7 linked regions of the Zea mays genome follow. The main gene of each other region encodes a partner of the protein of the gene in region 5 in a complex. Links are inferred from orthologs where the notes say so. Each region holds a gene or a part of one and is shown on either strand. Other genes may lie near its edges.

Region 1 (3,850 bases), on a different chromosome or scaffold from region 5:
ATCTGACACCTGGACAGAAGCAACGGATTGCCATCGCTAGGGTGGTTTTGAAGAACGCACCTATATTGCTGTTGGACGAGGCCAGCTCTGCGATCGAGTCTGAATCGAGTAGAGTGGTGCAAGAAGCTCTAGACACTCTGGTCATGGGTAACAAGACAACGATTCTCATTGCGCACAGGGCGGCAATGATGAAGCATGTTGATAACATCGTCGTCTTGAATGGCGGTAGGATAGTTGAGCAGGGCACACATGACTCTCTGATGGACCAGAACGGTCTATATGTTAGATTGATGCAACCCCATTTTGGCAAGGGCCTTCGCCAGCATCGGCTAATGTAATTATTCTTTTGAGTTTGTTTAGGTGTAAATTATCCTAGGGGATGATCAGGTTTCCTTGTGCGGCCACTCAGTCAGGGGCCCTTTTCGGCACATGAAAAATGCTGGGAGTTGCCGCCCTGTTGCTGTTCCGAGTAAGCCGACCTGGTCTTCTTGACAAAAAAATAAAAAAAATAGCTTGCAGATCCAAGTAATTCTGGAAATAGTTAGCAAGTTTGGAGGGCATTGTAATTGTTGTAATATATGAGCTGAAACATTCTTTCAGAGGCTCGTGCTTGTGGTGTCTCTCGCCTCTGTAATATTAGTGTTGCACCGACATGTTCACGGAGCGTGTAATTTTGGGAGCCACGAACCGACAGCAATGCAACCACATTCCCCCCCCCCCCCCCCCCCCCCCCCCCCCCATCTTTCGCTAAACAAGTTGCCGCACCATGCTCATGAGGCCGTCACAGAAGCAAGCGATCACGCCGTCAGGTCCGAGATCTTGAAGGAGTCCGCGACGACTTTGAGCCTGTTCCGCAGCCTGCTCCACCGGCGCTCGTTCGCGGTCACGATCAGCGTGTAGTACCGACCTAGTTAGAGCAAAAAACAAACAAACAAACAGAGTTTCATCTCTCTCTATTTCAACGCGAAGCGAAACACATGAACGTTTCCCGTTCATAGGTATCATACCGTTTCCAATGGCGACCGTCGCAAACGCAGAAACGCCGTAGCCCGGAGCCTCCAGATCGTACTCAAACGTCCAGTAGTTCTTGCCGTCCACGGTGCGCTGCAAAAATAGTAGGATAGGCCGCTTATTTCACTAGCACCATTTTTTTTATTTTTTTGCTCAGAGTTATCCAACTAGATTTGGCAACTCCAAACAAATGATAATTGCATGCATAAAGCGATGAACAGATGACAGACCTCTTGCATGTCGTAGATCGACGGTATTTGGTTCGGGGCAGCGTAGACGTTGTTTACCAGGTTGAAGATGGCCTGGTGTAATGTGGAAAAAAAAACATATTCATCACATCAGCAAAAGTGATTATCAGAGCTAAAACGTATATAATTTAAACGGAGGAGAGAGTATGTGTTTTATCTTTTGTGCCTAATCAAAGTGAAGAACACATAGTTTTTCCATAAAAAAGAAGAAGAATACATAGTCGAAAGAAGGAAACAAAACCCCCACCTCATCCATCGGTCCTAGGTCGCGGATGTCTGTTTTCTCGGTAGGAATGAACCCCACACGAACACACTGAAGGGCCAGGTTGCGGTCTTTGAACGCAGAATCATGACCCAAGAAGTCGAAATCCTATCCAGGGACAAGGGAACGAAGGCACCATGAAAATCACCCTACAGTTCTTAACTGTTCAAGAATCGATCGCATGGCGCCAACCTACCCTCCATTCAGCTGGATAAAGGTACGAGTACCCGTCTTTCGCGTCCACGTACGACTTGTAATTCTTCGGCACCTCTGAACAGCTCCGATCAGTGTCAAACAGGTAAGAAACGCAAAAAAAACGCTGCTCGAGGACACCGTCCTAGTCCGATCCTGATAGATACAATGCCAGGCCATCTATATAGGGATGATCGTTACCTTCAGCGAACGCAGCAGAGCTTGTCCTCAGTAGGCCAGTGGCTAACGCTCCAGCACCAAGCAAAGCTAGCCGTCTCTTCGTGACCTCTATACAAGCGGAGAGATGTTATGAACCAGGATTCTGTCGACCACTAGATGCATGAACGGAAAAAAAACAACAACAACAACAAAAGGGGGGGTTACTGGTGTCGTCCAAAGATCCTTGGATCGAGCTCGCCGCCACAGCTGAGGGAGGAGCCCTGTTCAGTTTGGTAGTCGCCGCGCAATTTGGCACAGCCAGCTGGAAACAAGCAACGGGTTCAAGCTGTTATTACTCCTCAGAACTGCAGGGAAAGTAAATGAATTCCAGAAAAAAACAGTGAGGAAGGGGCTTGAGCACGTACTTGTTTGGATACGGAGCAGACCAGGTTCTGCAGGCTCGCCATTTCGGCTTCAGTTGTTCAGGGTAGCGCTGAGCTCGAGGGAGAGTTCTGTGAAGCTTGTTACCCCCATCGTCAGTTATCCATAGCTGCTGGACACGCTCGAGCTCACTTTTCCACTATCGAGTGGGTGGTGGAACCGTGGAAGGGCTCGCTTTTCCCCTATCGAGTGTGTGGGTGGAAGCCAAGGCAGCCAAGTCAGCATGCTCATTATCCTCTCATTTCAGCACTCTTGCTTCTTTGTCTTGGACAGAGCACTGGCTGACAAAAATGGGCGTCCCTCTCAACAGGCAAACAGCCCTTCTGGTGGGTAGGTCGTTGATGACCCAAGACGAACTGTTCTGAATACAGTGATTTTTATGCCAAAAAAACAAAATTTCCAGGTTACATAATTTCATGACACCATGATAAGCGATATACAACAACGGCCACAATTATTCAATGCTAGTAAGCCTGTTGCATAATGCAGCTAGGTTTATTTGTTTTTTTCCTTAGTTGATTTATTAGTTTTTTCTTAGCTAATTGATAGTTGATCAATTAGTTCCCTTTTTTAACTAATTGATAGTTGTTTGTTAGTTTCCTTTCTTAACTAATTGGTTGATTTTTCCTTAGTTAATTGATAGTTAATTAAATAGTTTCAATAGTGTTTGAATGAGAGTCACGTACGAACGAGGTAAACACCAGAGTAGTTTTTGGTGGCGGCGTGATGCTAAAAAATCGAGGGGCGCCTCATCCCATGTTGACCTTAAACCAAACACAGTAAAAGACACTAGGCGCCATTCAAATCCACAACACATCAATAATCTTATAAGTTTTACCGAGCAAGCACTAACATGGCACCGGCCTAGGATTTAGGCAGCATGGCCATGGCCCGTGGCAGGACGTGCTGCAGCTTGAGCTGATGATTTATTACTTCCTTTCACTGCAAGGCCTTTTGCTCGCCAAACTATGACCATAAGTGCCGGAGCCGGAGCCGGAGCTTCTCCCCTGGCTTGAGTCTGCGGTGGCCGGAACCGGAACGACATCCTGCGGCGATTCTGCGACGTCCACCAAGAACATGTCAGGGTCGAAATGCTCCTGGCTCGAGCTCGAGGAAGCGAAGCCAAGCAGCGACGGCTGAACGGCGCAGGTGTCCAGAGACGAGTCGATGCTCCTGTGGCCGAAGCCGCTGGACGACGCAACGCAGTAGTAGCCAGTTCCCGCACGGGCACGCTGCCCCCGCGGCCCGAACGCGGCAGGAGCGAGTGCCTGGGCCTGGGCCTGGGCCTGGGCCTGGATGTGCTCGTAGCCGGTGGCGGCGAACGCGTCAGGCCGCGCGACTCTGGAGCACGATGCTCCGGGAACCGCCGCCTTCATCCGGGCGTTCCTTGCCTGGAGGTCCGCGAGCAGCATCCTCGCCTGGTTCCTGGCCTCGTCCCTTTCTTGCATCCTCCTCCGTGCGAGCGTGGCCAGATGCCAGATTGCATCGTCAGCCTCCGCAGACAAAGCGAGGATCTTTTGCCGCTCCAGTCTGGCCC
Region 2 (3,623 bases), on a different chromosome or scaffold from region 5:
AAAAATACGGGTAGGCTACTAGTTGGTTTGCCAGCCGGGACAGGGACTCCATGCCAGGTTTTACAACATGTACAAACAGTCGAAATGACATTAAATTTTTATAAGGTCTAATCGTGAATTTTTTTCCGAGGAAGAGCCAAAATGCAAAAAAAATCGGCCAAACAGGCGACTAGGCAGCCGACTACTATACATGCAGTTGAAAAAAAACATGGGAGAGAAGGTACTCCGAAATTTTCACTTCTACGGTGCCGAGATTAAAAGATGATTGCACCTGACAGCTGAAAGCTGCACCCCCAAAAAAATTGGTGTAGATTTTTCCCATCAGCTGTTATCTTAACCAGGTCCTATATTGTACTTTTGGTTGGCATTAGGCAAAGTGGTTCACTTTTTGTATTGCGTTGTGTCGTTATATCATCAAAACGTGAGGAAAAAAAAAAGATGCTGGTGGCCGCAGCTAGCGACGTAAATTATAGGATGGTGACGAGTGTGTGTATCCACTGTCAAATCCTAAATATCTTTCTTGAGCCTTATAATTTATCTAAAAAAAGTTTTTTAATACCCAAACTTGTTTGTTCTTCTAAATAGTTACTAGACTTTTGGCAATCCATATTATCTTCCTCTTTGGAACAATAATAGATGCACTAAGATCGTGTCTAGCAGTTACTCACATGGTTATCCAAAACACTGTTATGCACAGTAGATTGCACTATCTGTGGAGTGAAATTTGAATACGGAGATGAAGATGGATAAGCTATTAGAGATATTCTAATAAATTTTGTCTTTATACCATAGTATACTTTGCAAGTAAATAATAAGAATCAAATTTAATAGAAGGTGTACCTTTATTCTTGTTCTTGCAGTACTGCTATAAGTACATAACTTGCTTGCATTAGTACATAACTTGCTTGCATTTTGACCGGAACCCATCATTATCCTTCACAAAAGTAGTTTTGCGACTTATAAAGGTCACCTCGATATTCTTATGGTGTAAACTAATCCCGTTTTATTGAGAGAAAACCTTTGACCATCAAGCATTTTAGGCCTAGTTTAGATACTCTTGGAAGAGGGGGTTGAAGTGCATTGAAATGTATCCAATCAAAACAGACAACACTTGCCATGTCATCGATCACGACCTGCCACGTCAAACGGGGTCGCATATCAGCGTATTTGTCCGCGGCAGGGAGATTTACACGGTCATACGGGTTGGTTTTAGAAACAAAATTACTCTGATGTTAATTTTTAGAAATTGATTTAGAAAATGATTAAAATAAGAAAACTACGTGGGCTGTAGACTGTCCCGAAACTTGCGGCTCGGCCCGGTAAAACCACGGGCCTGCTGCTGCAGTGGCCGGCTGAAACATCCAGAGCCCATGCTGCCTCCGCGCGACGAATTTCGGGGCGTCATTATAAAGACCCGAGCCTGCGCGCCTTGCAGCCACAGTCTGGGGATAATAATCCACACTCCACAAGCAGCCATGGCGCCACCCATCACGTCCCTGTCGTCTCTGATGGCGTCCAGCCCAATCCCGACGCCGCCGCCGCCGCTCCCGAAGACCAGCGGCAGAGCGCTCTCCGTCGCGCCCTGCGGCTCCGCGTCGTCCTCGTCGCCGTCCACTTCCTCGACTCCTCATCCGGTGGCGGCGTCGGCGTCGGCGGGCAGGAGGGGGCTGCTGGCGCTGGGCGCCGGGTTCCTGGCCTCGGCCGCGCTGCTGTCCCCGGCGGGCGACGCCGGCGCCACGCGCATCGAGTACTACGCGACGGTCGGGGACAAGATGTGCGACCTGAGCCTCGTCAAGTCCGGCCTCGCGTACTGCGACGTCGAGGTCGGCACCGGCGTCCAGCCCCCGCGCGGCGAGCTCATCAATGTCAGTACCGAGACCACCGTCTCTTCTTTCCTGCATGCCTTGCGCCTTCCTCTGACTTAACCTACTCTGTAATAGTACAGTGGTCCATTTCCCTTCTGCACGAGTAACTCAGCAACATATGCCGCCATCCTGTTCTGCGTTCTGTGTGCTGCTTGCTTCGGATCCTAATTATATTCGTCCTCTCGATGGTCATCAGGTGCACTACACCGCGAGATTTCCCGACGGTACGCTGTTCGACAGCAGCTACAAGCGCGGGAGGCCACTGACGATGCGCATAGGCGCAGGCAAGGTGTGCATGTATAAGCATCCATTGTCGCTCACTGAAAACGACGTTCAGTTTTCATGCCAGTAAAAAATGATGGTCTGTTTCTTTCGCGTTCTCCGCGTGCAGATCCTCCGAGGGCTTGAACAGGGGATCAGTGGCGGCGGCGGTGTGCCGCCCATGCTTGTTGGTACGGACAGGAACTTGAGCAGTTTTTAGCTGTGCATTAAATATAGAGGCTTTGCTAATTTGGCTTGCTGTTCCATGACTGATGACTCCGTTGCAAACCTGCCTCAGGTGGAAAGCGCAAGCTGATGATACCTGCGTCACTGGCGTACGGGCCTGAACCGGCAGGCTGCTTCTCAGGTCGATTTTCAGAACTGCGCTAAATGACTTCGTACACCATAGATAAGCAAACTGCTCTCGCTCTAGAATTGTCAAGGAGACTGCTTCTCTAGTTTTTTCTTTTGTTTTTCTTTTTTTGACAGGAGACTGCAACATCCCCGGAAACTCCACACTTCTATATGACCTTTTCCTCGTCGGGATCTACAAGTGAGCCCTCGATGACAGGGAATGTTCAGAACCTAAGAGCAGAGACAAGGTCTGTCTGATATGTGTGCCGTGCACAGCGTTATTCTGAACTCGCCTGGTTTTCTGTGACTCACGTCCTTCTTTCCAGAGTAACCGATCGTTTTCGTGTGTCACACATGGAGGGTTTCAGGAGGAATTCTTGGCGGTGAAAGCACCTGCAGAGGCAGAGCCACTTGCAGAAGCTTCTGTACTCCAGAGAGCTACCTGGATTGAATAAAATGATGATATATATAAACCATCCTTGTTACGTAATAACGCCATTGTGGAACTTTGTAAAGACCAATCATATTGTTGACTATATAGCAGTTTGATACAGCCAAAGCGAGCAAGTTATCGGAGGTGTATGTCACATGCGCCACCAGCTTTGCTTGCACAGCCGATACGGAATCGTGAATTTGTTTGTGTCAGTCAGACTGTCAGCGTGACTGGCGAATGGCGTCAAACCCTTCAGCATTCGATCAATCATGCCGACTAAACACTCACGATTCGGATGTGCAGAGAGGTCTCGCGCTCGTGCCTGACACATGTGTGCCCGTAGTAGCTTGGAGCAAAAATTCTCATCGACCGGTTCAGACGGTGCCCGCCTCTGCTGTCTGCCTGAATTGGGGAGGCTGCTGAAGCAACAAAGGCGAAGCTAAACCACTGGCACCATTTCCATGGGTTGTGAAGACGTAGATTTGCAGAAGCGAAAGCGTAAGATAGGACCAAGCCGCATTAGCCGTTGGAGCGCCACATCGGGATCGGGAAACTATTTTGCTTGTGAGAGAGTATCACTGTCACATCACTGGGATGGTTGGGCTTGGGTTATAGGTACTAAAAAAAGTTCCAGTGCAATTTGACCTCACCTCTTTGGCTCTATGTCATTGGTGGTTCCTGGGAGCGCCGAGAGCTGTTTCCTCGGGCCT
Region 3 (3,233 bases), on a different chromosome or scaffold from region 5:
TATTAAACCACTTTCAGGCAAGACAATGTTTCGCAGTGAGAGGCGTGTACCCTTTGATGGGGAGTACTGATGAGGTATGTAAGCAATTGTATTTTTCCCTAACATTAGAGTTACATGTAAAAAAACATATGGCTAACCATGAATGCTTAAAACTCTGTAATAGGCCGAAACTGGTGGGCTAACAAAGGAAGAGTATGGGATAAAACTTGCGATGAGCTATGGTCGGTCGGTTGGCATAGTGAAGCCTTTCGACAGGTTGATAATCTTTGAAAAGATTGGTGATTCTTCTGTTGTCAAGATCATTGAGTGTGAAGGTTAGGCATTAGATGATTGATACCTACAACCCATGCTGTAGTTTCATGTATCGCATGGGAGATTACCTCCAGTTCCATCTCACTTATTTAACCAAGTTCCAAGTAGAGTACAGCAAGAGCACAAGATATCTTGTTAGGGAATTTTGCCCTCTTTTCAGATTGTCTTTTGATTTGACGCAATAAATTATGATGTCACAGATTTATACTGGAATTATGATTTGATTATGCAAATATAGGATTGTTGGCAACAAACCATGAATAATCGTCGTTCCTACCTTATTCTATTGGACATTACATGATGCAGTGCATGATAACATCCCAAAAGACAATCTTAGGGCATTATCAGTTAATTTACCTATAATGTTCTGTCTATGGTACACTCCTGCAACCTTGCTGCTGTTGCTGGTATGCTGCTGTCAGTACTGCTCCTTGAAGAAAACAGCATAGATGATGCAGCAGATGGAGATGATGATGATAACGATATCGATGGTGAGCGCAGTCATGGCCTGATCGCTAAGCTTCATGTTCTTGCCGCCGAGGCGGTCAACCATGTCTGGCACGGGTTTGTAGTTGATGATGTCCTGCTCGTATGGGTCCTCGAGCCTGGACCTGAGCTGCTGCAGGCGGCGGCTCTCGGCCTCCTGCGCCAGTGTCCAGTCGTAGAACCGCCGTGTCTCCTCCTTGCTCAGCACGTTGTACACCTCTCGCAGGCGGATGAACTTCTGCGACGCCACCTTGAGCGGCAGCGTCGTCGTGTCCGGGTGGTACTCCTTGGACAGCCGCCGGTACGCCGTCTTGATCTCCTCGATGTCCGCCTCTGGCGCTATGCCAAGGAACCTGGGTGATAGATTTTGCAGTTCAGTCATGTGTCGCCGTTAGTAACAAAGTATTGACATGATGATGACAGTGTCTCGAACAGAGCTCTACAAATTTATGTACAGCTGGACGGCAATCCAAAAGGACATATGAGCATGGATTGGAGATGAACTCAACTGGTAGTGAGACTCGGCCGCGTTGTTGATGAGGTCCGCGAACCTCCCTCCCAACGGCTCGTTCTTGCTGCTGCCGCGGCCGTCGCCTTCCTTCTTGGCCTTGCCTCCTACCCACCCTTCGTCGGGGTTGGACCAGTGTATCCTGGTGTCCACCGTCTTCTTCTTCCCCGGCCCTGCACCGTCCGCCGTCGCAGGAGTCGGTTCGGCGTCGGGCGGGCTCGCGGCTGCGACCACGACTGCCTTCGTGCGCCGCTGGTGCCGGTGGAGGAAGGGCGTGAAGATGCGCGAGGCCGTGGACGCTGCCATGGGAAACGTGTGTGTTAGCGTCTGCGCAGGCAGCATTCCAAGGCGTGGAGGGGAGTCGGGAGGTGATGAGGCTCGCACGTTCCAGTTGTCGTGGTAGGAGGGCGAGGCGATGAGGTGTCGCTGTTCACTTAGCCAATGGCCACATGTACAAAAAGAAAAAGGAACGGTAACCATATTCCGAACGAGAAATGAAACTGCAGAAATTTTCCCGCCGCACGAACACTTGCGCTGTCAGTTTAGACGGTACGCAATCGAATTCGTCCGCACAGTTATCCTGAGTAGTACTGAGTACTGACCAAGTGACAATGAGGGAGAAGAGGTAAAAAAAATAAAACAAGGGGGGTAAAAAACAGTTTGGAGATGCGGGGGATCGAACCCCGTACCTCTCGCATGCAAAGCGAGCGCTCTACCATTTGAGCTACATCCCCTTGTTGTAATTTTTAACTGTGATTAAATTAATAATGTTTTTGTAATTCAGGATTTTGGGTGTCGCCTCCCATGATAACGCGCATCAGGTTTGCGTTCCACGGTATCATCAGGGAGAGGTCTTCTTGAAACGGCAACAATGCTTGGATCTTCGTTACTGCCGTCTCCAGTCTCTCAGCTTTGGCCTCAGCACTCTTGTGACTAGCGGTTTTGTCGCCCGATACAAGACATGATTTGTGCCATTGGTAGCCACTGCAGATGCTACGAGATTTGTGCCATTGGTAACTAGTGTAGTTGAAAGGGAGGGAGAGGGGTCTTCCCTTCTATGCCAATCCATATAAATTGAAGGTGATTAAAGGGTTTCAATCCTTAGTAAGTCAAAATCTCTCTCAATACGTATCAATCTCTTCCAATCTATAGATTGAAAATAACCGAACAAATTGTGATATCCTGGCCCCTGGGATGGGATGTCCTGGCCCAAGGCTTAATAGAATTAATAGTGTAATCATACCAACAAGGTGCATATTCTTTTTCGGAAGCATATCTTGAAAGAACCTCCAAGTTAAGCGTGCTTGGCTTGGAGCAATTTGGGATGGGTGACCGACCGGGAAGTTTTCTCGGGTGCGCATGAGTGAGGACAAAGTGCGCACAAAAGACTTGTGTTGGTATGTGGGGACAATATATGATCCTAGAGAGCTGCCAGGAGTAAGTACCGCCGGTCCAGGGATTGGACGGGGTGTTACAAGTGGTATCAGAGCCGACCCTCGCGGTTTCACGGGCGTGTGTGGGCTAGGGGGTTCGGGTATATGGCGCATGGCGCATCTGGGCCCGGAGTGGTCACATGGCATGGCATATGACGACACTAGACATACAGACGTGGCCAAGAGGGGAGGTTCCTGGATTGGGGTTGACCGACGAGGACGTCGGTCTTCTAAGGGGGGTGGATTGTGATATCCTGGCCCCTGGGATGGGATGTCCTGGCCCAAGGCTTAATAGAATTAATAGTGTAATCATACCAACAAGGTGCATATTCTTTTTCGGAAGCCTATCTTGAAAGAACCTCCAAGTTAAGCGTGCTTGGCTTGGAGCAATTTGGGATGGGTGACCGACCGGGAAGTTTTCTCGGGTGCGCATGAGTGAGGACAAAGTGCGCACAAAAGACTTGTGTTGGTATGTGGGGACAATATATGATCCT
Region 4 (3,551 bases), about 18 Mb from region 5:
GACTCTAGGCAGTCAGCTCTTCAGAACATCCAGGTGAAACAAACATCAGTGGGATGTGTAGTCTAGAAGAAAAGCTAGTTCTCTCCTCCTCAGGGCAGTAGACCAGCCTTGTTCTCTTTCGGAATTCGGGAAAAAAAAGAAGAGCCCGTCTTCATAGCGAGCCAGCTGCATCCCAAGTGTAAAAAAAAAAGAGAGGAAACAGCTGCGAGGCTTACCCTTTTTTTCTCCCCAGTTTTGTTACCCTGATGGTTCCTTCCTAATTCTCCCTTTTCTGCACATGTTTTTAGGGGAATTAATGACATTTTCCTTTTGTTGAATAATAATAAGAATGGGTGGGTGGTGGCAAACCAGCGGCTCTTGATTGTTCAGCGCATCAGTCTTGCATGTGTTTTTTTTTCTCTTCCCTTCAAAGTATTGGAGAAAACATGAAAACAAAGGCAATTCATGCAGAAAGTTGAAGCAACAGTCTGCAGAACATGTCGTGTATTATATGGCACGAGGATAGAACAGATTTTCAGGCTCTCCAGTCTTACAGGAAGGATGGCTTTCCTTTTTATTCAAGAGATTTTCCTAGCAGCTACAGCTTCCTTTCACAGGGTTTTTTTTGCTGTGAGGCAACAATCTGAAGGGCAGCGAGCGGTGTACGCAATGCATCTAGGTCGACTTGACGATGTCGTCCCTGGTGTTGACGGTGAAGTCCCAGAGCTCGCCGTACTTCTCGTTGAAGTCCCAGATGTCCATGGAGTTGTAGTCGGCGATGAGCTTGTCGCGGGCCGACCTCTCCATCATGTAGATCTCCGGCTCGAAGTTGTGCGGCTTGTCGGGCTTGCCCATCTCGATGACGCAGAACACCACGATGAAGACGGCCGCCCCGATGTACAGGTACTCCCCCTGGCGACACAAGCAGACGCGTCTCCGATCCGATCAGTAGATGCAGGTGACGAGTTTTTTTTTTTTTTTTTTTTGGGGCACAAATGCTTGGAGCGCAGGAATTTCACAGGAAACAATTCACTTTCCCGACAGAAAGCACAATTCACTTCCGACCAGGAAACTTCGTGTTCCAAACAGGGGACTAGGTACTGGGAGGAGGAAGTGCTGGATCCTTACCGGCACATTGAAAGCCATGCCGAGGATGATCGCAGGAGGAAATGCCCAGGAGATGAGTGCTGCAAGAGATCGCCGCCATTGATGCAGTGCAACAAATGAGCAAGGCAGAAGCATAAAGATCTGAAAGAGCTACACAGTAGTGGTAGTACCTTGAAAGCCCTGAGGAGGCTCAGCTTCTTGGTACCACTCGGAGACATCCTCCCAGAAGCCCTTCTTGTCTTGGGAAGAAAAGCGGGGGGTGTTGCGGTTGTTTGCAGGTTTTTGTTTCACCACAGCACAAAACAATCAGTGGACTATTATTTCTTTTTCTTTTTGCAATGAAGGATATCATATCATGAACAATGGAGTTCTTATTTTTTTCTGGGAGGATAGTAATACCTTGGCCTTCGAAATAGGTGTGGTGTCCGTCATACTTCCCGTACTCGAAGTCCTCCTGCAAGACAAGACAAGACAAGACAGATCCTCTCCAGTGTCATCCACGAACGAACGAACGAAACGTACTCCGTTCTTCAGAGCTCTCGTTCATAGCACAACCTACGTCAAGGTTCACTGCTTTCCTGCGTGTTCCTAGTCTAACTAACTAAGCGCGGAACGACAACCGAGAAGAGAAGAGAAGAAAAGGAAGGAAACGAGGGACGACGACGACGGACCGGGCTGATGCCGTTGGTGCGGTACACGTCGATGGCGTCCTCCTCCAGGTCCGGCTCGATCTCCGACAGCGGCCCAGGCCCGGCCCTCACCACCACCGCGCCGCCGCCCGGCCTCCTCCCGACACTCGAACGCCGGCGGCCGGCGTGCAGCAGCTGTGGCCGCGCCGCCGCCTTCACCCTCAGCTGCTGCGGCGCTGCGTCATGGCGGCGCCGAGCGGTGCTGGGCGCTGCAGATGGCGAGGCAGAGATGCCGGAGGACAGGCTGCTCATTATCTCGCCGCGGTGCTGCGATCGCTGCTGAGTGGTGACTGGTGAGTGCTCCAGCCCCCGCTGCTGGCTGCTGCTGCACTTCACGTTGCGGCCAAGAGACAAAAAAGCAAGCGGATAATGGTGCGCTGGAGTTGGACACCTACCGTCCAGGATTTTTCCGCTGTCTTTTCCTGTCCCTTTTTTCGTTTCTGGAAATAATCAGCTCATAAAAACTCGGTACGATTCTGTGGAACTGAACACCTACGGACGTCCCACAGTAACCCCTCCCCCCGCCAAAAAAAATCGTGATTCTGTGCGCTATATTTGTAAGAAACTGTCGCATGTGCTTTGGTCAACGGACACCAACAAAACAAGTGAGAACTCACTCTTTGTAGGATTATCTGTAACCCTGTCCTTTAAATTTTTCCATGTATATGGAGTGGTTCTTTCTAAATTCTCTCATACACTACACAACGATTTTTTTATAGCGACCTATGGTTGGTTGCTAGAACGTCTTCATCAACCTAGGGTTTAGGGTTTAGATATACACAGTTAATTAGTAGTACAATGGTGCTATGTTTACAAATAAATATACAGTACTAATTTGCATGTAAAGCTCTAACTGAATTCTTACCAAGCATCAATGGACACTAGAACATTTGGCGGCCTTGGGGTGCCCTCGAGATTGCGATGTCACAAGAAGACCCGCACATGACATTGTTACAGATCAGATCCTTAAGCCTAGTAATCAACAAACCAGTTTCTTAAATTAGTATTATACAAAAAAAATGCAATTGCTCCCAGTTCTTTTGGTATCAAGACAACATAGTCCCCCATCTTCATAGTAAGAGAAAAAAAGGCTAGCATCACTGCATCAATAAACTGCCCATGCATTTTTTTTTACTGTAATCGAACGATGAGTAAAGCTCTGACATCACCAGTACTCTACTCGTGAACGCCTCGAAGCCCTGCCTCTGTCCTTACCAGTTGGCGGAGAGTCAATGTGACTCAACTTCAGTCTGGAAGGTGAAAATAAAGCAACAAGACACAAATAAAATGAAATCACGTTGCTGCACTGAAAATACAGAGATGATTTCGTGCATAATCTCTCATACCGAACGTAGCAGAGCTGTCGTGGTACTCAACGGGTGGAGTAGCAGAGCTGTCGTGCTGTGGCATGCTGTTGGCGAAGACGAGAAGAACCAGACAACAACTCTGTGCGGATGGATAGCGGATGAACAACAACACTCCACATTTACCGGTCGTCGAGCTGCCGCTATATTTTAGCGGACCATTTGCCGGTTCTTGCTGGAGCGATAGCGGACACCGAGAAACGCTAAATATAGCATACCGAACGCTTTAGCGCCCCTTGTTGGAGACAGCCTAACACTACCAAGCCTCTCGATTAGAAATGGTAACAGATAAAGACCTGCCGGGTTTTGCTACCCCAGACTCGGTTCCGTCAAACTAAAAACTCGCCACTCTAATACCCCTACTTGTGCACGGATACAATTTCACACTCATACACGTACTCGTGTGGGTATT
Region 5 (3,129 bases):
TTTTGGATAGAAAATTAGAAGATAGGGGAAGAATCTGAAGAAGGCTCCTCGAAGAAACTTCTTTACCTCCCATCCACATGTGGTGTTCTAGTTTCTGATATGCGTTTTTTTTTTGGGTTAATTCATTCATCTTATGTTCGTTGCTTCTGTGTGAGGGGAAAGCACTTCCTCGCTCTACTCGTGCGGAAGCGATCCATTCTTTCGTGTCCAACTCACACGTCAAGAATATCGAAATGTGGACCCTTTTCAGCGCGCTCTTTAATTCAGCTTACCTGAGCATCAATGGTGAAGGAAGAATGCAAGCTCATTGACCAAGGTGGCAATGATGTCGCCGATCCACAACGCGATGGAGACGAGGACAGTGATCTCGTGTGCCTGCGCTCTCGTGTTCGGCTGTGCGCCTGGGTTCTGAGAATCCTAAACGCGTCGCGGCCGTGAACTATTCACATGTATGGAAATCTGTACATGGTTCGCATTCTTTCTCTTCTGACACTCGTGCCAAAAAAATGTATGTATATCTTTATTAATTGCCTCTCTCATTCAGTGCAAAGCTGCAGGAATGGCAGGGAGAGATGTCCCAGAAGCAATTGGAGAGTGTAGCAGTAGCAGTAGCCAGTCTGGTAGACAACTAGCTAGACCTGCTTGCTTGATCATTCCTCCGCGTCCGGGTCCGGCTCGAGGCCTGCGATCTGCTTCAGTGGCTTCCAAACAAAGCTTCTCCTGCACGCGTGCAACAGGGCCACACGTACGTAATCAGGCCTTAGCCACAAGTGGTCCCGTGTGGGAAATTTAGACATGGAGGGAGGTAGAAGGAAGCGCATGTACCAGTTGCCGCATTCTGCGATCACCCTGACTTTGGGGCGGATGTCCGGGAGCATGGCCAGGAACTGCAGCTCAGCCTTGGACAGAACCTGCACGTAGACCAGACGAGAGGCCCGAAGAAGAGGTTCAGGAACAGAGCACTCGTCAGTGGTGTGCCGATCGATGGAGGCGCGTGCATGTAGATGTAAGCAGGCACCTCACCTTGGCTTCGATGATCCAGACGACGAGGCCTTTGGCGTCCGGGTGCAGCAGGCTGAGCCTGTAGTCCACCTCCGGCGGGAAGTACCACCGCGCCACCGGCTGCCTGCCGAGGCTAGGCTGCAGTCACCGCACCGCCACTCCAATCGAGTCAGTTCGTCGATCGACCGCTCGGTTCCCGCACGCGACGAAAGGACACGGCACAGCCACAGCAGCAACAACAAGCAAAGAAAGAGAGAAGGGAACGTATGTCGTGCTCACGTGATGTCCGTGCTCATGTGAGCACTTTAAATCGTGAGTGTTCTTTCTTAATCCAACGATTAGTGCTTTTTATTCACTTAAGTCCTCTCACCTTAACGATGAGTGTTCCTGGCCAGCAGCATGATCGTTAGATTAAGAAGGAACACTCACGATTTAAAGTGCTCACATGAGCACGGACGTCGCGTGAGCACGAGATACGTTCCCAAGAAACTAAAGGCGTGCTACGTACCGGGCAGACGGGGTGGACCTTGGTGAGCGTGGTCTCCGGGTCGCCGAGCCCCCGCGCGGAGAGGTCGAGGAAGTAGTAGCCCTGGTAACGGAGGCGGTTCAGGTAGCGGCCCTCGTAGCCGCCCTCGTGCGGCGGGTAGATGGCCAGCGCCTTGTGCTTCTCCACGTCGTCCAGCCACTTGCCCAGGTCCGGCCGCACCAGGTCGCCGCCCACGAAGTCCCACACCGTGCTGCGCACCGACACCGACCCCCGGCCGCCCCGCGACCCGCCGCGCCGGCCGCTGAGGAGCGAAGGCGCCGGGACTGGGGACACGGACACCGCGCGCGCCGCCGCCGCCGTTGCTGCCGACCACATGGTGCTGCTGCCTGCGGCCGTGCGTGTGGGTGGGTGGGAGTGGAAGTGGGACTGTGGGAGGAGTCGCTTGATTGCTTTTGAGCCTGTGGCGGGAAGATGGCTTGCGCTGAAGCTGAAGTGGGGAGGAGGGGTCGCGGATAAGTCTCCAATCCAGGCCGTAGGTTGGTCTGTCAGCCGAACTGCCCAAGACTGAAAGAGCAGAGTACATGTGTTACCACTTACCAATCTGTATTCAGATTCTACTCAGAGATCGCACACAGTACGGATACGTGAATTTTCTTTAGATCCAAACAAAATATTAAAATGCATTAAAAGTTACATAGATCATTAATCCTGTTAAGGCCTATTTTAGAAACTTTAGTTTATTCAGACCCGCCAATTCTGAAGGTGATTTGTGTTTCCAAAGTCTAAACTGTCCCAAAAGAATGTCATCAACTGGAAACCCACGTAAATGCATTTGTTTTAGAACGGAGGGAGTAAAATTTCGGTGTGGATCACGTTGACTTCAGAAGTTATTTGAAAAATTAAAATATAAAGAACTTAAATAAATATTTAGGCATATAACGATTTGAGGACACCAGCTTAAAAAACCTTTTAAATTAAACAGTTAGTAAAGTAGGTCACGCGCTCTTTTTGCTTTTTTTAAAGAAAGATGGATGTTGTGCATCATTTGTTGGGATGGTCGTGCTTAGTCTGTCCCAGCAGGGTTCCAAAATTTTATCCACTAAGATAATATTTCTAGTCTTTCACATCACCATTTAAAAGATTCTATCATGTATATTTTTCATGCCTTCAGCAGCAGCAACCTCTAAATTTTATCATCTATATCTCATCATCTATTTTTTTCCAGCCATATTAATGAGAAAAAATTCAAACGATATTTTTTCCATTCACCAATTGTGTACTCCCTCCGGTCCTGAAAAAGATGTCGTTTTAGACAAGGTTTGAGTGAAACATATAAAACTTTGACTATAAATAATAGTTTTGAAATCTAATATATATATACATATATATATATCTTAAAAATCACTTTTACAAAAGTATAAATATATTAAGAGTTTATTTGTATTTACAAAAATATTGGTCAAAGCTATATTTTGAAGACCGTGTTTATGTTCTAAATGACTAGCTTCTGTTGCATCGGACACTGGTCACTAGAAAAACAATCCTCTTTTAGTTTGTTCCTTATCCGCCACTAGGCAAGGCTATAGAGGAAGTTCGCGGTGGTGACAACATAAGAGGAAAAAGATGGCGCGCATGACAGG
Region 6 (2,656 bases), on a different chromosome or scaffold from region 5:
AGATACGTTTAAGACGTGGATGATTATCATAAGAAATTCCCACCATATCATAAGATTCGCGTTCTTGAAAATCGGCACTTCTCCAAACCCAGAAAACGGACGGGATTCTAGGATTATCCTTTTGGGCAAAGACTTTTATGCATACCTCTTCTGGGTTATCTATACCATACTGTATTCTCGTAAGATGATACACGCTAGCTAAAGATCCACCGGGTGCTACGTCATAAGCACATTGGGAACGTAAATAATTGTAACCATATACATATAAAATGACAGCAATGGAATCCCAATCCCCCGCTTTTATTTGTAAAGTCTCTACTCCTCGATGATCGAAGCCCAAAGACCTATGAACCACGTCATGTTTAACTAGCCAATTAGATAACCAACCCTGCTGCATTGTCTTGATCTCTCCCCCTTTGTATAAATATTTCACATTTCAAATGCAAGTTTGAAAGATTGTACTGCTCTTTTCTTTCTTTTTCTGCACAAAAGAACCCCTCCTAATTCACTAATTTGTAGGAAGATACTGAACTTTTGGATTTGAAAAAAGTTTCAGAAGATATATCTAAAGTAGATGGTGATTGATAGAGCAATTCTTGTTCGTAAGTTCCAGTGTGAGTACTGCGCCGAACATAAAGTTTGTGACGGGTAGTAAAAGATCTATTTTTCTTTTGACTTTGACATAGAGTTCGATCCTCAATTATTTCTCGCGCTATCTTCTTACGAAGTTTTGTTAGGGCATCTATAACAGCCTCTGGTTTAGGCGGGCAACCCGGCAGGTAGACGTCCACAGGAATTAACTTATCAACTCCTCGAACAGTACTATAGGAATCTGTACTGAACATGCCCCCTGTAATAGTACAGGCTCCCATAGCAATGACGTATTTCGGTTCAGGCATTTGCTCATATAATCGCACTAAAGATGGAGCCATTTTCATTGTTACCGTACCAGCTGTTAAAATTAGGTCCGCTTGTCTAGGACTTGATCTGGGTACCAATCCATAACGATCAAAGTCGAATCGTGAGCCTATTAATGAAGCAAATTCAATGAAACAACAACTGGTACCATATAGAAGGGGCCATAAACTTGAGAGTCTTGACCAATTTGAAAGATCGTTTGGTGTAGTTGAAATAACGGAATTGGAACTTGTTTGGTCGAGTAACGGAAACTCAATCAAACTCATAATTGTCCCAATGGAATCTTTTCCTTCTTTTTTTTTTTTTTCTGAATATTCAGTTAAGACCATTCCAAGGCTCCTTTTCGCCATGCATAAACTAAACCAACAACTAGGATAAGCACAAAAATGAAAGCTTCGATAAAAACGGATACACCCAATACGTCGAAACTCATTGCCCAAGGGTAGAGAAAGACTGTTTCCACATCAAAAACAACAAAAACTAGCGCAAACATGTAATAGCGTATTCGGAATTGTAACCAAGCCCCCCCCATGGGTTCTATACCCGATTCATAACTAGAAAGCTTCTCTGGTCCTTCACTAACCGGGGCTAAAAGTCCTGAAATCCAAAATACCAAAATAGGAATAAGGCTTGCTATTATTAGAAATGTCCAAAAAATATCATATTCGTGAAGCAGAAACATAAATGTACTCCCATTAATGTGGAATAGGCGGAACTGAATTAGTCAATTCAAGTTGACATTGTCAATTTATCCAGAACTTCTCTCTTTTCCTCGGTGAAACAAGAATCTGTTTTGCTCAAACCAAAGGCAAGGAGCGCTTACTTTAGCCTTTATTTCTTTTGTGATATGTCTTCCTTAAGGATTCATCCAATGTAATCCCCACTTCCCTTCTTTTTGATTTCCCTTCTATTTAGATATGATATAGACCTAATTCTTATACAAAGAAAACTCTTTCGCTTCACTTTGTCTCACTTTCTCTAGAATCTCTAGAAAAAAGAATTGCTCTACCCTTTATTTAATGATAGTCAGAGACTATTAAATAAAAAAGAAAATACTTACTACTAATTGGATTAGAACCTAATTAAAATAGGATGATTAATATATATTAAAATAGGATGATTAATATATACATCCTAATGAGGAGTAATACTAAAAAAAAGAACTCTATTTCAGAATTATGAAACAGAATATCCTGTTTTATTATTTACTCTTTCTTTTTTTTTTTCTTTCGATTTTTTCTATTTTATTTAAAGTGGATCGATTTAGATAATGTATATGATAGTAATATACTTCAAATAAAATAGGAATTCGCAAAATGGAGAAAATCGTTGCAGTCATTATAGGAAAGTATGGGAAGACTTAGAGCATATCCTATTTAAAGGAGGATGAAATTCAAATCAGGTAAGGGATCCTTCCTTCTATTGATTTGATCAAAATTCTTTTTTCTTTTCCTGTCTCTCTGATTTGCGTTTCGATGAATGAGCCTATGGTAATGCTTTTATCTCTATTCTATGGCGCAATCGACCATCGAGTCTATAAACAAGTACTAAATAAGGAAAAGAAAACTATACTAAAGGAAACATAAGATATCCATCCTAAAATGGAAAAAAGACGTATATATTAGGGCTATACGGATTCGAACCGTAGACCTTCTCGGTAAAACAGATCAAACAGATTATTATCGAAATGATTCGAACTGTTTCAAAGACCCAACATGCATTTTTCTGCATTGGGCTC
Region 7 (2,874 bases), on a different chromosome or scaffold from region 5:
GCTCGTCAAACGCCCGGCGTCCCTCGACTTCGGAGGAGCATGGTGAGCAGCCATTTCGCACTACATATATACCACTGCCTAGCTAGTGCCTGTTTCTTGTCCATCGATTTATTATTATTATTATTATTATTATTATTATTATTATTATTATTATTATTATTATTATTATTATTATTATTATTATTATTATTATTATTATTATTATTATTATTATTATTATTATTATTTTCGCCAAGGTGAGGTCAACTCGTTGCGTGCTTTCCAGGATGCACAGGTACGGCATGGGGATATATCTACTGCAGCGCGGCTCGGATTCGTCGCCCAACGCTCCGGCAGCTGCAAGACCGCCGGCGATCAACCCCAAGGGCAACCACATTTCCTTTCAGGTGACCACCAGAGCGCTCTCGCAGAATTAAGAAACTGGATAGGCAGCCAAATTTAGTCCAATCCAAGCAGAGAGGATCCTTGCTCTCGCGCAGAGTTGACCTGCTTAGTTAGTACGAGTACTTAGTAGTAGCAGTAACCAGTAAGCACCCGCTGATCGGGTGTGCTCGTTTGGCAATGGCGTGCAGTGCACGGACATGGGGCTCATGAAGACGAGGCTGGGTGACATGGAGCTGGAGTTCGTGGCGGCGCGGGTGTGAGACGGCGAGACGGTGGTGGAGCAGCTCTTCTTCCGCGACCCAGACGGCAATGTGGTCGAGGTCTGCGACTGCGAGAAGCTCCCCGTGATACCCCTCGCAGATGCAGGCAGCACCGGCCTTCTTCCAAATACGCTGCTGCTGCCGGTGGAAACGAACTTGCATGGCTAGTTCGTGGTGCTTGCTCATTGGTTGCTTAGCACGATTATTTGATTCGTGTGATTAGATTTGTGAGCTGTAACAATACTGTAATAACAGGCAGTTCTGCACGCTATTGTACATATGTTGCAAGTGTCCGTACGTAGTGTAATGTGTATGTACAGGTTCGGAGATTGCCGGGTTAGGCGTCTTCCAAGCTGAATTTACGTAGTGTTGTGCGTAATGCTTGTGCAATGGCGATGAAAGCTGGTGCTCTTCAGTACTCTGTGCGAGACTGACGACAAACCGCGTACCCCGAAATCGCAAGGCAACCGCCGCACCAGCGTTCAGAGCCCAATGAGTCTGGAAGCCTGCTTGGCCCAATGGTGCGCTGTGCAAAAGTGCAAACCGAAACCGAAGTCAGTGGCAGAAACGGCCCTTATCCACACACACAAAAAAGTACGCGACACAAGCCACGCTCTCCGCTTGTGGCTAAGCTGCTGCACGCGCGGAACGACAAAAATCCAGCACTAGCCAAAGCACAGGCGAAGAAGCAGGCGAGAGGCCACCACAAACATGGCGACCACGGCGTTTCTACCCCCGGCCAAGCTGCCGCTGCAGGGGCGTCGGTTCGCTAGCCCCAAAACGGCGGGACGTATCAGCGTCAGGGTCCCTCCGGCGCGAGCGCAGCAAGAGCAGCAGGTGAAGGAGGAGGAGGCCGAGGTGGCGAGCGTGCCGCCGCCACAGGACGCGGAGAAGCAGGCGAGGAAGGGGGACGCGCAGTCCCTGCCGCGGCAGCCTTTGGCGGAGAGCAAGAACATGAGCCGCGAGTACGGCGGGCAGTGGCTGAGCAGCACCACGCGGCACGTCCGCATCTACGCTGCGTACATCGACCCGGTGACCAACGCGTTCGACCAGACGCAGATGGACAAGCTGACGCTCATGCTCGACCCCCAGGACGAGTTCGCCTGGACCGACGAGGCCTGCCAGATGGTCTTCAACGAGTTCCAGGACCTCGTCGATCACTACGAGGTAACCTCTGTAGTTGCTCCCACTCCAACAGCTCCGATAGTAGATAAAAAAAATTTGAATTGAATCTCTTGTTGTCTGAAATTCGTACGGTCATTTCCCCCCTTTTCATCTACTTTAGAGCCACTCCTGCCAAAAAAATAAAACATACGGTCTTGGCAAAAGAAGTGATCGGTAAGAGGATAGCTGAGCTCGTTTCTGCTTTGAAACAGGGGGCTGAGCTGTCGGAGTACACACTTCGGTTGATCGGGTCAGACCTTGAGCACTACATCCGCAAACTGCTGTACGACGGGGTGATCAAGTACAACATGAGGTCCAGAGTCCTCAATTTCAGCATGGGCAAGCCTCGCATCAAGTTCAACAGCAACCAGATACCAGAAAAGATATAGAATGTACTTATCCAACGCCCTTAAAAGAATGGTTTCTCTCCATTCGATTACCGAGCAAGATGTATACTCTGCAGTCCCAGATACGATCCAGAGCATTCCAGAATTCATATTACGCAGATGCAAAGCCATACACCGATTCTGTTGGCAGAATTTTGTCACCCCTGCACAGTAATAACCACATAACGAGAGTCTGGGCAAAATAAGGGTTTGCTCGAGTTTAGATACCCCTTCTGTTTCTAGGGCACTCGAATTGGGTTACAGTACACAATACCATAGTTTCTGCTAATAGATACGTATCACCGAATACCACATGAGGTCAGAGAGTTGCACAGAGACGACCGCGCTAACTTACCAAACGACTTTCTGAACTGGATGGAGTAATGGCTAGTATGGGTAAACCCTCTACAAACATTCCATGACAACTCGGTACTTTTTAAATTCATCGCTCCATGGTCTGAATTGGTCTTCTAGCTCAATGTTCTACAGAAGCATAAAGATACAGTAAGGGCTAGTTTGGGAACCTCAATTTTCTAAGGGATTTCTATTTTTCCATGGGAAAATGAACTAATTTCCCTTGGAAAAATAGAAATCCCTTAGGAAATTGGGTTCCCAAACTAGCCCTAAATAATTAAAATTAGGGAACACCACCATGCTATGCTGCTGCTGAGTACTTCGTC

What was found.
Region 1: NAD(P)H-quinone oxidoreductase subunit N, chloroplastic (region 5) and photosynthetic NDH subunit of lumenal location 1, chloroplastic share a complex: the UniProt entries of both Arabidopsis thaliana proteins name them as parts of the chloroplast NDH complex. The link is inferred for Zea mays from reciprocal best matches to the Arabidopsis thaliana genes NdhN and PnsL1.
Region 2: NAD(P)H-quinone oxidoreductase subunit N, chloroplastic (region 5) and Photosynthetic NDH subunit of lumenal location 4, chloroplastic share a complex: the UniProt entries of both Arabidopsis thaliana proteins name them as parts of the chloroplast NDH complex. The link is inferred for Zea mays from reciprocal best matches to the Arabidopsis thaliana genes NdhN and PnsL4.
Region 3: NAD(P)H-quinone oxidoreductase subunit N, chloroplastic (region 5) and NAD(P)H-quinone oxidoreductase subunit T, chloroplastic share a complex: the UniProt entries of both Arabidopsis thaliana proteins name them as parts of the chloroplast NDH complex. The link is inferred for Zea mays from reciprocal best matches to the Arabidopsis thaliana genes NdhN and NdhT.
Region 4: NAD(P)H-quinone oxidoreductase subunit N, chloroplastic (region 5) and Photosynthetic NDH subunit of subcomplex B 5, chloroplastic-like share a complex: the UniProt entries of both Arabidopsis thaliana proteins name them as parts of the chloroplast NDH complex. The link is inferred for Zea mays from reciprocal best matches to the Arabidopsis thaliana genes NdhN and PnsB5.
Region 6: the proteins of NAD(P)H-quinone oxidoreductase subunit N, chloroplastic (region 5) and ndhK are in contact, whole or in part, in a cryo-EM structure (PDB 7WFG), measured with the Arabidopsis thaliana proteins. The link is inferred for Zea mays from reciprocal best matches to the Arabidopsis thaliana genes NdhN and ndhK. Residues at the interface, in NP_200634.1 of Arabidopsis thaliana: Pro80, His81, Gly83, Gly84, Tyr85, Glu86, Gly87, Arg88, Leu90, Asn91, Arg92, Leu126, Lys128, Tyr142, Ala146, Pro148, Pro149; in NP_051063.1 of Arabidopsis thaliana: Ser3, Ile4, Lys5, Phe6, Pro7, Thr20, Asp24, Trp28, Thr117, Asp118, Thr151, Arg154, Lys155, Ala158, Arg159.
Region 7: NAD(P)H-quinone oxidoreductase subunit N, chloroplastic (region 5) and NAD(P)H-quinone oxidoreductase subunit M, chloroplastic share a complex: the UniProt entries of both Arabidopsis thaliana proteins name them as parts of the chloroplast NDH complex. The link is inferred for Zea mays from reciprocal best matches to the Arabidopsis thaliana genes NdhN and NdhM.

What each region holds. Positions count from the first base shown.
Region 1 is NC_050096.1:42,029,568-42,033,417, reverse strand, and holds photosynthetic NDH subunit of lumenal location 1, chloroplastic, read right to left. Parts: upstream 2,524-3,850; 5' UTR 2,340-2,523; coding exon 2,298-2,339; intron 2,219-2,297; coding exon 2,098-2,218; intron 2,002-2,097; coding exon 1,915-2,001; intron 1,792-1,914; coding exon 1,718-1,791; intron 1,630-1,717; coding exon 1,507-1,629; intron 1,314-1,506; coding exon 1,242-1,313; intron 1,105-1,241; coding exon 1,008-1,104; intron 908-1,007; coding exon 798-907; 3' UTR 501-797; downstream 1-500. Other genes in the region: ABC transporter B family member 20, read left to right, coding at 1-338. UniProt on the Arabidopsis thaliana protein: NDH shuttles electrons from NAD(P)H:plastoquinone, via FMN and iron-sulfur (Fe-S) centers, to quinones in the photosynthetic chain and possibly in a chloroplast respiratory chain.
Region 2 is NC_050100.1:216,381,105-216,384,727, forward strand, and holds Photosynthetic NDH subunit of lumenal location 4, chloroplastic, read left to right. Parts: upstream 1-1,456; 5' UTR 1,457-1,475; coding exon 1,476-1,865; intron 1,866-2,061; coding exon 2,062-2,154; intron 2,155-2,256; coding exon 2,257-2,317; intron 2,318-2,424; coding exon 2,425-2,493; intron 2,494-2,615; coding exon 2,616-2,683; 3' UTR 2,684-2,728; intron 2,729-2,806; exon of another isoform or gene 2,807-2,848; 3' UTR 2,849-3,123; downstream 3,124-3,623. UniProt on the Arabidopsis thaliana protein: NDH shuttles electrons from NAD(P)H:plastoquinone, via FMN and iron-sulfur (Fe-S) centers, to quinones in the photosynthetic chain and possibly in a chloroplast respiratory chain.
Region 3 is NC_050099.1:14,035,709-14,038,941, reverse strand, and holds NAD(P)H-quinone oxidoreductase subunit T, chloroplastic, read right to left. Parts: upstream 1,760-3,233; 5' UTR 1,649-1,759; coding exon 1,308-1,648; intron 1,152-1,307; coding exon 731-1,151; 3' UTR 501-730; downstream 1-500. Other genes in the region: Pyruvate kinase 1, cytosolic, read left to right, coding at 18-74, 164-319. UniProt on the Arabidopsis thaliana protein: NDH shuttles electrons from NAD(P)H:plastoquinone, via FMN and iron-sulfur (Fe-S) centers, to quinones in the photosynthetic chain and possibly in a chloroplast respiratory chain.
Region 4 is NC_050098.1:158,250,019-158,253,569, forward strand, and holds Photosynthetic NDH subunit of subcomplex B 5, chloroplastic-like, read right to left. Parts: upstream 2,071-3,551; 5' UTR 2,028-2,070; coding exon 1,758-2,027; intron 1,541-1,757; coding exon 1,486-1,540; intron 1,326-1,485; coding exon 1,257-1,325; intron 1,167-1,256; coding exon 1,108-1,166; intron 892-1,107; coding exon 655-891; 3' UTR 501-654; downstream 1-500. Other genes in the region: putative transmembrane protein kinase family protein, read left to right, coding at 1-37. UniProt on the Arabidopsis thaliana protein: NDH shuttles electrons from NAD(P)H:plastoquinone, via FMN and iron-sulfur (Fe-S) centers, to quinones in the photosynthetic chain and possibly in a chloroplast respiratory chain.
Region 5 is NC_050098.1:176,087,909-176,091,037, reverse strand, and holds NAD(P)H-quinone oxidoreductase subunit N, chloroplastic, read right to left. Parts: upstream 1,932-3,129; 5' UTR 1,865-1,931; coding exon 1,511-1,864; intron 1,141-1,510; coding exon 1,024-1,140; intron 912-1,023; coding exon 826-911; intron 721-825; coding exon 651-720; 3' UTR 501-650; downstream 1-500. UniProt on the Arabidopsis thaliana protein: NDH shuttles electrons from NAD(P)H:plastoquinone, via FMN and iron-sulfur (Fe-S) centers, to quinones in the photosynthetic chain and possibly in a chloroplast respiratory chain.
Region 6 is NC_001666.2:50,618-53,273, forward strand, and holds ndhK (NADH dehydrogenase subunit K), read right to left. Parts: upstream 1,185-2,656; coding exon 501-1,184; downstream 1-500. Other genes in the region: ndhJ (NADH dehydrogenase subunit J), read right to left, coding at 1-397; ndhC (NADH dehydrogenase subunit 3), read right to left, coding at 1,238-1,600. UniProt on the Arabidopsis thaliana protein: NDH shuttles electrons from NAD(P)H:plastoquinone, via FMN and iron-sulfur (Fe-S) centers, to quinones in the photosynthetic chain and possibly in a chloroplast respiratory chain.
Region 7 is NC_050097.1:23,630,826-23,633,699, reverse strand, and holds NAD(P)H-quinone oxidoreductase subunit M, chloroplastic, read left to right. Parts: upstream 1-1,187; 5' UTR 1,188-1,355; coding exon 1,356-1,811; intron 1,812-2,020; coding exon 2,021-2,197; 3' UTR 2,198-2,374; downstream 2,375-2,874. Other genes in the region: uncharacterized protein, read left to right, coding at 1-42, 266-386, 573-644; uncharacterized LOC100502247, read right to left, coding at 2,600-2,677. UniProt on the Arabidopsis thaliana protein: NDH shuttles electrons from NAD(P)H:plastoquinone, via FMN and iron-sulfur (Fe-S) centers, to quinones in the photosynthetic chain and possibly in a chloroplast respiratory chain.